Linked DNA regions of Oryza sativa Japonica Group. Each later gene encodes a partner of the first gene's protein in a complex. Links are inferred from orthologs where the notes say so. Each region holds a gene or a part of one and is shown on either strand. Other genes may lie near its edges.

Region 1 (3,720 bases):
TACAGCATTCAGTAAACGAGGTGCTATGTCCAGCCTAAGGCTATCCTATTAAAAGGACATCATTATATCTTAATCAAACAAGAACAAACAGAAGTTCATTAGTCTCATAATCCCATCTCCCTCCCTGCCTTAGGCGCAGATGGTTCCATGGTGCCACTGCACCACTTATGTCCAAGGACACCCAGCCAAGCCTTAAGGTGTGCATGGATCTAAAAGCTAAGGCAATATGCTTTTCCAAGCAAGGTTAGCATTTGATAAAAGCATGCAAATCTTGCTTTTGATAGCACACTAACCCATAACTGATGGTAAAATCTTGCCCACAAGGAGAGTTGAGTATTAACTATTTTAAATTTCAAAAATGGATTAATATGATTTTTTAAAGCAACTTTCCTATAGAAAATTTTTGCAAAAAAGTATTGTGGGTGTGGAAAACGAATGGGTTTCTCTCTCAATCTCCAGAAATGAATGCAGCCTAAGTGAGCAGATGATCCATAAGAACTTCTAGTGTCCTTAACCCGTGTTACATACCCATGAAAACACGAGAGTTGTGTTTACATATGTTGTAAAAAAACTAGCATATCGCCCTCGCGTTACAACAGGATCTATATACTCTTTTCAAAGACCTCAATGGTGGTGGTGAGTGGTAAATCTGCCACCACCCACCACCACTACCATGTGGGTCCCCCAAACAGTGAGGTGGATGGACTTTTGTCCCTTCCTAACCTCAAGCCATCAAACAGGAAAAACTTCTTTTGAAGTGAGGTGAAAATGATGACAAATATATGACCCTAAGATTTTAGAATGAGGGTAGTTTTATTTTAATTTTTGAGGCTTTAGAGTGTACGGTGTGGTTTTCTTATTTAATTCCCATTGCAATGCACGGGCATTCAACTAGTTTTGATTAAAGAAAATTATCATTAACCTGTTATTACCATAATTTTCTGCATATATCTCTAAATTTCTGGATATATTTGTTACTGACATGTGGGTCCTCTAGCCTTACATTGTCCTTCCTTCTCACAAAAAAATAGAGTTGGTGGTGGGGGTGGTGGCAGACTCACCACCACCGCTACTCCCTTTTAAATGAGTACAGATATAGAGAAAAGACTTTATACTGTTAACAACTTAATGACTCAAATTGCATGTAACAGTTATACTACCTGCATGGCACCTGCACCAAGAACCAGTTGGCACGTCCTAGTGTTGAAGAGCTTCAATATTTCAACAACACGTTGGACCACCTCAAAAGATAATGATGGCAAGCATTTACTGATGTCAACATATTCCGATAACATCTTCAACAATATCAAACCACTGCAAGGGTGAACATGATTTAAATTGAGAATCTCACGTAATGAGAACACAAGTTAACAAAAAGACACAACAAATAAAACAAGGTTGACCACAAATCAATAGAGGGATGGTTTACGACTCTAGCTATCAAAATGTTGGGAAATAAAAGTGTCACGTTGCAACACTGCAAGGTGCGCAAGAAGAGAATGCAACTTGACCTGAACTATTAAGTAGAAAATATAGATGACTAACCAGTTTACCATATGATAGCCTACACCCCCATGCACAATGGTTTGCTGTGTTGATCTAGCATGCCCAACATTGTTTTCAGTCGAAGGAGAAGTAGATACTGCGTTGCCATTATCAGTATTATTTTCAGCTGAATTTACTGGTTCTTGACTTGTAACCCGATTTTCATGGAGCTTTGAGCTGTCATCAGTGCTAGGCATCTCCATGCCATTAGCAACGGAATAAGTGGATGATAGTGATAGAACAATTGCTTGGAACTCTTCTGGAACATCAATAGCAACCCATGTCTCTTGGTCAAGAACTGCCTTGATTTTTGCCATCTTCAAAAGAATATTAGAAGTTTTAGTGCACAAAAATACTATAAGTTGTGCATCAACTGCAGACAAAGTACATATCAGTCTGAAATCCAAATCACAGTTGTTTGCACAACCTTGAAATTTGTATTTATGATGATTGTTGAGTAGCAAAAAAAAGCAGCAGTGACACCTAATAATGTTAATTGTTTCACAAACTATAGTGTCAATTGTTGAGTAGTACTCCCTCCGTTTCACAATGTAAGTCATTCTAGCATTTCCCACATTCATATTGAAATTCCCACATTCATATTTTTCAATATGAATGTGGGAAATGCTAGAATGACTTACATTGTGAACCGGAGGAAGTACTTGTTTAAGCCTTACATTCTCCGTTTGCACTACCATTTTACTCAGGGTATTTGATGGTGAAATGCACTTTCCGCAAGTAATATTCTCCAATTAAAAAGCATAATAAAGGTACAGCATTATATTCAATTTGATGGATATCTATAACTGAGGGGTCAGGGATAAAGTTGAGTGATTTATATTCTTTCAAAATAGCACAATTATCCATTGAAGTTTGTGTACAATGATGCTTTGTAGTCTTATATTTAATATTATTCTCTCCTTATAGATGACATTTGAAGAATGGCCTTTTAATTTTTCATCATCAGTAAACTCATGCAAGTTGTTTACCATTGTAGAATTCAACAAATGCTGATAGTCAACAAATTTTATCACTCACCCGGACAGTATGCTGATAGTCAACAAATTGCTTTGATTGTTGTTGTACAATTCCACGGATGTTGTAACCCAACCTGCCTCCAATCTACAGGAATAAGAAGATACAATAAAGTCATAACTTGCATGTATGCAGTGATGAGCATAATGAGCGTTTGTGCATATTTTTCAAACAGGAAAAGAAATAACCTTTTCAGTGGCAGCTACAAATTCTTCTGTTACATTATAGATGATCAAGAACTCCTGAAGTCTTAATTTGGGGTGAAGGGCAGCACGAACACCAAGAAGTTTAGCCCATCGTCCATGGGCAGCATCACATGCAGCAAAAACAGCTTCTGTGTTTTCTCTCAAGACATCAGCTCTGTACCAAAGGCAAATATTAGAGAGCAATTGTGTTGTCAAATATAATTATGATATAAAAGAGGTAAAGCCTAGAATTTGACCCAATATTCTAATTTTGTATTGAATCTGTCCACAGCACTACCATGACATCAGCTAACATAACATAAAAAGCATATCTACTCCCTCCATCCCAAAATATAGCTACTTCTAGCATTCAATTTTTTGTCCCAAACTATAGCTACTTCTAGAGTACAAAAGGGTGTCCCAAAATATAGAAGTGAAAAACTTTAGAACTAGCTATATTTTGGGACAAAGGGAGGTTCTTTTAGGCAAACTGAGGTATTTTTCGCATTTATCAGAAAAAGGTGAAAAATAAAATCTAGCCATTCTTCAAGGTGGGACGAAATTACAGTGGTTCAGATTACAACAAAAGTCCATGTCAGGTACGATTTTGTAATTATTAATTTCAAATTTCAGAATAACCAGAAAAACAGAAAGTAACAAAAACTATATTCGGATGGATTCTATATATAACTTTTGTAGCTCCTAATTTTTAATTTTGGATCTATTCATAAAAATATTTTTATTCCAAACCTAAAAAAAAGTTCAAATATGTTTTTCCATAGAGTTTTGATGCGGATGTATATGATATCTAGCCCATGTGAATGCAAGATTTAATAACTAGTTGCACCTTAACTTACCGGACATTCTTTATTGAATTTGTACTGGACATGTCATTCGTTTTTCCTTGAAAGAAGGGAAACTTAGAATTACTCCTGGTAAGAGTATTAGACACCCG
Region 2 (3,720 bases), on another chromosome or scaffold:
CAAGCATAAGCACCAAAGCCGTTGGAACCTTATCAATTTGCACCGATTCCATCTCTTGAGATGGACTCTTGCTTCTCCCAGAAAGCATATGAAAATGCCCATCAAGTTTCTGAAAGAAATCTTGAAAACCTTCTTGTACCCAATCAATAACCAAATCTCTCAGTTTTACAAGTAACTCTGTATTGCCATCTATAAGATGATGAAATTCCTAGAAACAACATAGTAAAAAAAAAATGAGAACATTGGAATATATGCTCTTATGCAAGCATAGGCTTACTAGTAGTTTGTAAAAGAACTGCATGTTATTTGGACAATATTATGCCGCAGATTATCCACAATATATACCTGCAGGAGATCTATACATCCTTGCAATACTTTAACCTTGCTTGTTTCCATGGCAGTTTGCAGCTGTGACTCTTCTAACTTCCCATTTGATGTCGAGGGTGTTCTGGCGAGTACATCTGCTCACACATACACCAGACAAATTAGTTTTTTTCCTTGGAAATACTTTATTGTTTTCAAACCTATCTGTACTACAAGCTAAAAGCCCAAAAAAACTAAGTAGTTGCAGGAAAAAAACAAATTTAAATCATATCAATTAGTTCTGCACGAAACTTGCAAAACTAAAACAAATTGCGGTGGGAGGAGGGCAACCTGATATTTCACTTTGAAGATGAAGAAAGGCAGTTGCGATATGTTGTCTAATAATATCCCGAGTAGTCTGGCACAGAAAAGGCATTGGCACATGTGAAATCAATGTCAACTATCAAGATATATAAACAGTTCTGTTGACATGGAGAATACCCAAAATAAGCAATTGGGTTACAGAAGTATATTCAGTTTATCACTTGAGTAATGGAAAACAGGGGTCAATAAACTAACAGTACAACTATTACTTTCTACTACTAACAAAATACCCTCAGCTAGACATATATTGCCAAACAGCTTTTTGTTGATTTGTAAATTCGTAAAATAGAGCTTTCAGGATAAGATTATCATACTCCTCTAGCAAACCCGTGACAGAATAATCCTCAATCCTCAACACTGACGATTGCAAAAACAATGTGGGTAATTATGGATATCAACTAAGAAATGCATCCATTCACCAAAGCCAAACTTAGCCATGCAACCAGTTCACTTCTATCTGCTAGATGTTCTACACTTCTACCAAATGGCTACACAATATGACCTTTGTGGTTAAGTGTTAGCAGCTAGCAACACATCAGCCGGTTTAGAACCATGAATAGGTTGTTACAGGGTCAAGGTCAAACCTCCAGAGAAAAAGCTGGTAATGCAGCCTCAGGTATAACTTCATCAATGGCAGTGGCGTCCTCCCATAAGGATCCTGAGATCATAAAAAAGGAGCAGACTTAAATCAAAGGACATGCAACGATCTTACAACTTGCAGTAATATCGACAGTGAGGACTCCATAGGTAAACAACAAATTTTTATGTAATATACTAATTCAATAATTCAAAACCCAACAGTCCATTTATTCAAAAACTTAACAAGTCTTAATCCTCAACTTATTGTTCAGTCTACATATATTCAGTACAAAATAGAGATGGCACAGTAACATAGGTAAGTTCTTACGTAACATAGCCAATAGATATGTTGATGGAATTCTTTTCCTCAGATTCTCTCTGACCGTTTCATACCGGCTTCATGTAAAATAAGAAAAAATGTAAGACAATGTATATATATGATAAAATTCTCGTAGTAGAAATGCAAGTTAAAACAGGAAGCAAACAGGATAAACATGCTGAAGGTATCGAGGTATAATGTACTATGAGTTATTACTATCTCTGGTAACAAGTACTGAAAGGGAACCCACATTGCAACTTTAACCACTGTTTTCTTTTGCTATATTTATAAAACCTGACAAAATTATGATAGTATTAAAGTATACTTTTAGGCAAGCCTACACATGGTTTTTCATATTTCCAATCTAAATACAAGTGTTGATTCTCTAAATTTGACTGCATTTAAGTCCAAAAGTGCATGTATTCATATCCAGTCTCCAGAGGGGACACCACTTACTACTAACTTTAAGATTGTTTTCCCTTCTAGAAAACAAGAATCACTGCAGAAACACTTGTTATGTGACATTTCTAGCTGGTTTCTTCCAAAAAGATTTCATTCATATCAACTACCTCAGTTACTGGTTGTTCTTAATACCATGTGGAGATATGACCATTTATTAATGAGGGCAGAACTATCATGTAATTTTACGTGGTAGTGGTATTGTGGGAGCTAATCCTAAAACAACAACGAATTCGGATAGGACTTGGTTATTCATTGTTCAAAAACGGATGATGGTTTGTTTGCATAAGATATAAAATCAACTTACTTTGAGAACAAAGCCTGTGCAAGTTCAATGAGGCGCTTTTCTGAATCAGGAAATATTATGAGATAAGCACGGAATGTCTTTGAAATATCACCAATTGAAGCCTGAGAAAGTTATACAGGAGGGTATTAGATAATTTATTGGTAAGGAGGTTGGCAAAAGGATTGTAAATTGAGTCCTGCGAATAGGTCACACTTTATAGATTTTTCGTCAAAAATAAAATGGAAGTTGTTGAGTAGTTCTAACATTTCTTATATATATATATATATACCTGTGTGGGCTCCTTCTGGAAATTTAAGAGGCAATCTTCTAACTTCTCAAGTAGGTTTGATTTCAGGCTGTCCACCTGTTGATTTAAAAATTAAACATGATAAGATTTACAGAAAAACATAGGGAACTATATGCAAATAGAGTAAATCTATTAGCTATTTCATCAGGACAGCATAGCAATGTACTAGTTATTTGTGTTTATTGCTTGCCTGCTTCACAGAAAGTCATGATTATTTCCTGTTTTCGGGCATCGCCTCATAGTTCATTATAAAAACGATAAACAGAGGTTCAACATATCAATGCAGAGTCTTGTGACCAGCTGACAGTGTTATTGCGGAAGATCTATGAGTCAAGAAAATGATACGGAGCAGCTGAGAGTGCTATTGCTGTATAAGTACCACAGTTAATAAATATGAAGTTTAATGCTATAGTGGAAAATAAGTAACGGCGTTTGCATAAGAATTGTTATGGGTGATGGTCATTTTCATTGATTGATATCTGACTAACAGGTCATATTCACACATGTACCAAATAAAATAGATATAACAAAAACTCAGAATTAACCACTATAGATTATCAGCGTATGGTAGTTCTATTGTGTAGAGAATAGAAGATCTGTGCCCATGCACAAAAGTTAAAATAGGCATCACAATAGAAGAAAAAAACTTTATATGAAGAAAGGAGTTCAGGTGTTCCACTAGTTCTACAAGTTAGAAGGTTGGAGAATGAGAAGATGTATCAGGAGGATAAGTTTTGGAAGTTTTTTAAGCTAAGAGATGTTGAAATGTAGACATCCCATTAAGAGTACCACTAGCATGGATATTAAGAACAAGTTGAATCGTTGATCATTCCAGCATTATCTTGTGGTAGCGCTTGTTTATACTCCTTTTAAAAGAATGCAATAGCGGTAATGGCAGTGATCTTTCACCCCACCAACTATGCACTATATTTTTTGCTAGGAGTACTTGGAGGTCTTTGATATTACACATTAATATTATCACATGTTGTTACTTTCTTGTTTACTCTCTAAAATAAAAACTTAAAACTGAGAAATCTAAGATGACCTGCATATGCAGTATAGAAGATAACTTTTACAGGTGGA

Evidence for each region.
Region 2: vacuolar protein sorting-associated protein 54, chloroplastic (region 1) and vacuolar protein sorting-associated protein 51 homolog share a complex: the UniProt entries of both Arabidopsis thaliana proteins name them as parts of the golgi-associated retrograde protein (GARP) complex. The link is inferred for Oryza sativa Japonica Group from reciprocal best matches to the Arabidopsis thaliana genes VPS54 and AT4G02030.

The regions. Positions count from the first base shown.
Region 1 is NC_089038.1:7,614,537-7,618,256, reverse strand, and holds part of vacuolar protein sorting-associated protein 54, chloroplastic, read right to left. Parts: coding exon 3,623-3,720; intron 2,941-3,622; coding exon 2,769-2,940; intron 2,668-2,768; coding exon 2,584-2,667; intron 1,863-2,583; coding exon 1,546-1,862; intron 1,315-1,545; coding exon 1,161-1,314; intron 1-1,160. UniProt on the Arabidopsis thaliana protein: Acts as a component of the GARP complex that is involved in retrograde transport from early and late endosomes to the trans-Golgi network (TGN). The GARP complex facilitates tethering as well as SNARE complex assembly at the Golgi.
Region 2 is NC_089037.1:31,134,298-31,138,017, reverse strand, and holds part of vacuolar protein sorting-associated protein 51 homolog, read right to left. Parts: intron 2,695-3,720; coding exon 2,620-2,694; intron 2,453-2,619; coding exon 2,352-2,452; intron 1,663-2,351; coding exon 1,595-1,662; intron 1,346-1,594; coding exon 1,272-1,345; intron 722-1,271; coding exon 655-721; intron 462-654; coding exon 346-461; intron 209-345; coding exon 1-208. UniProt on the Arabidopsis thaliana protein: Acts as a component of the GARP complex that is involved in retrograde transport from early and late endosomes to the trans-Golgi network (TGN).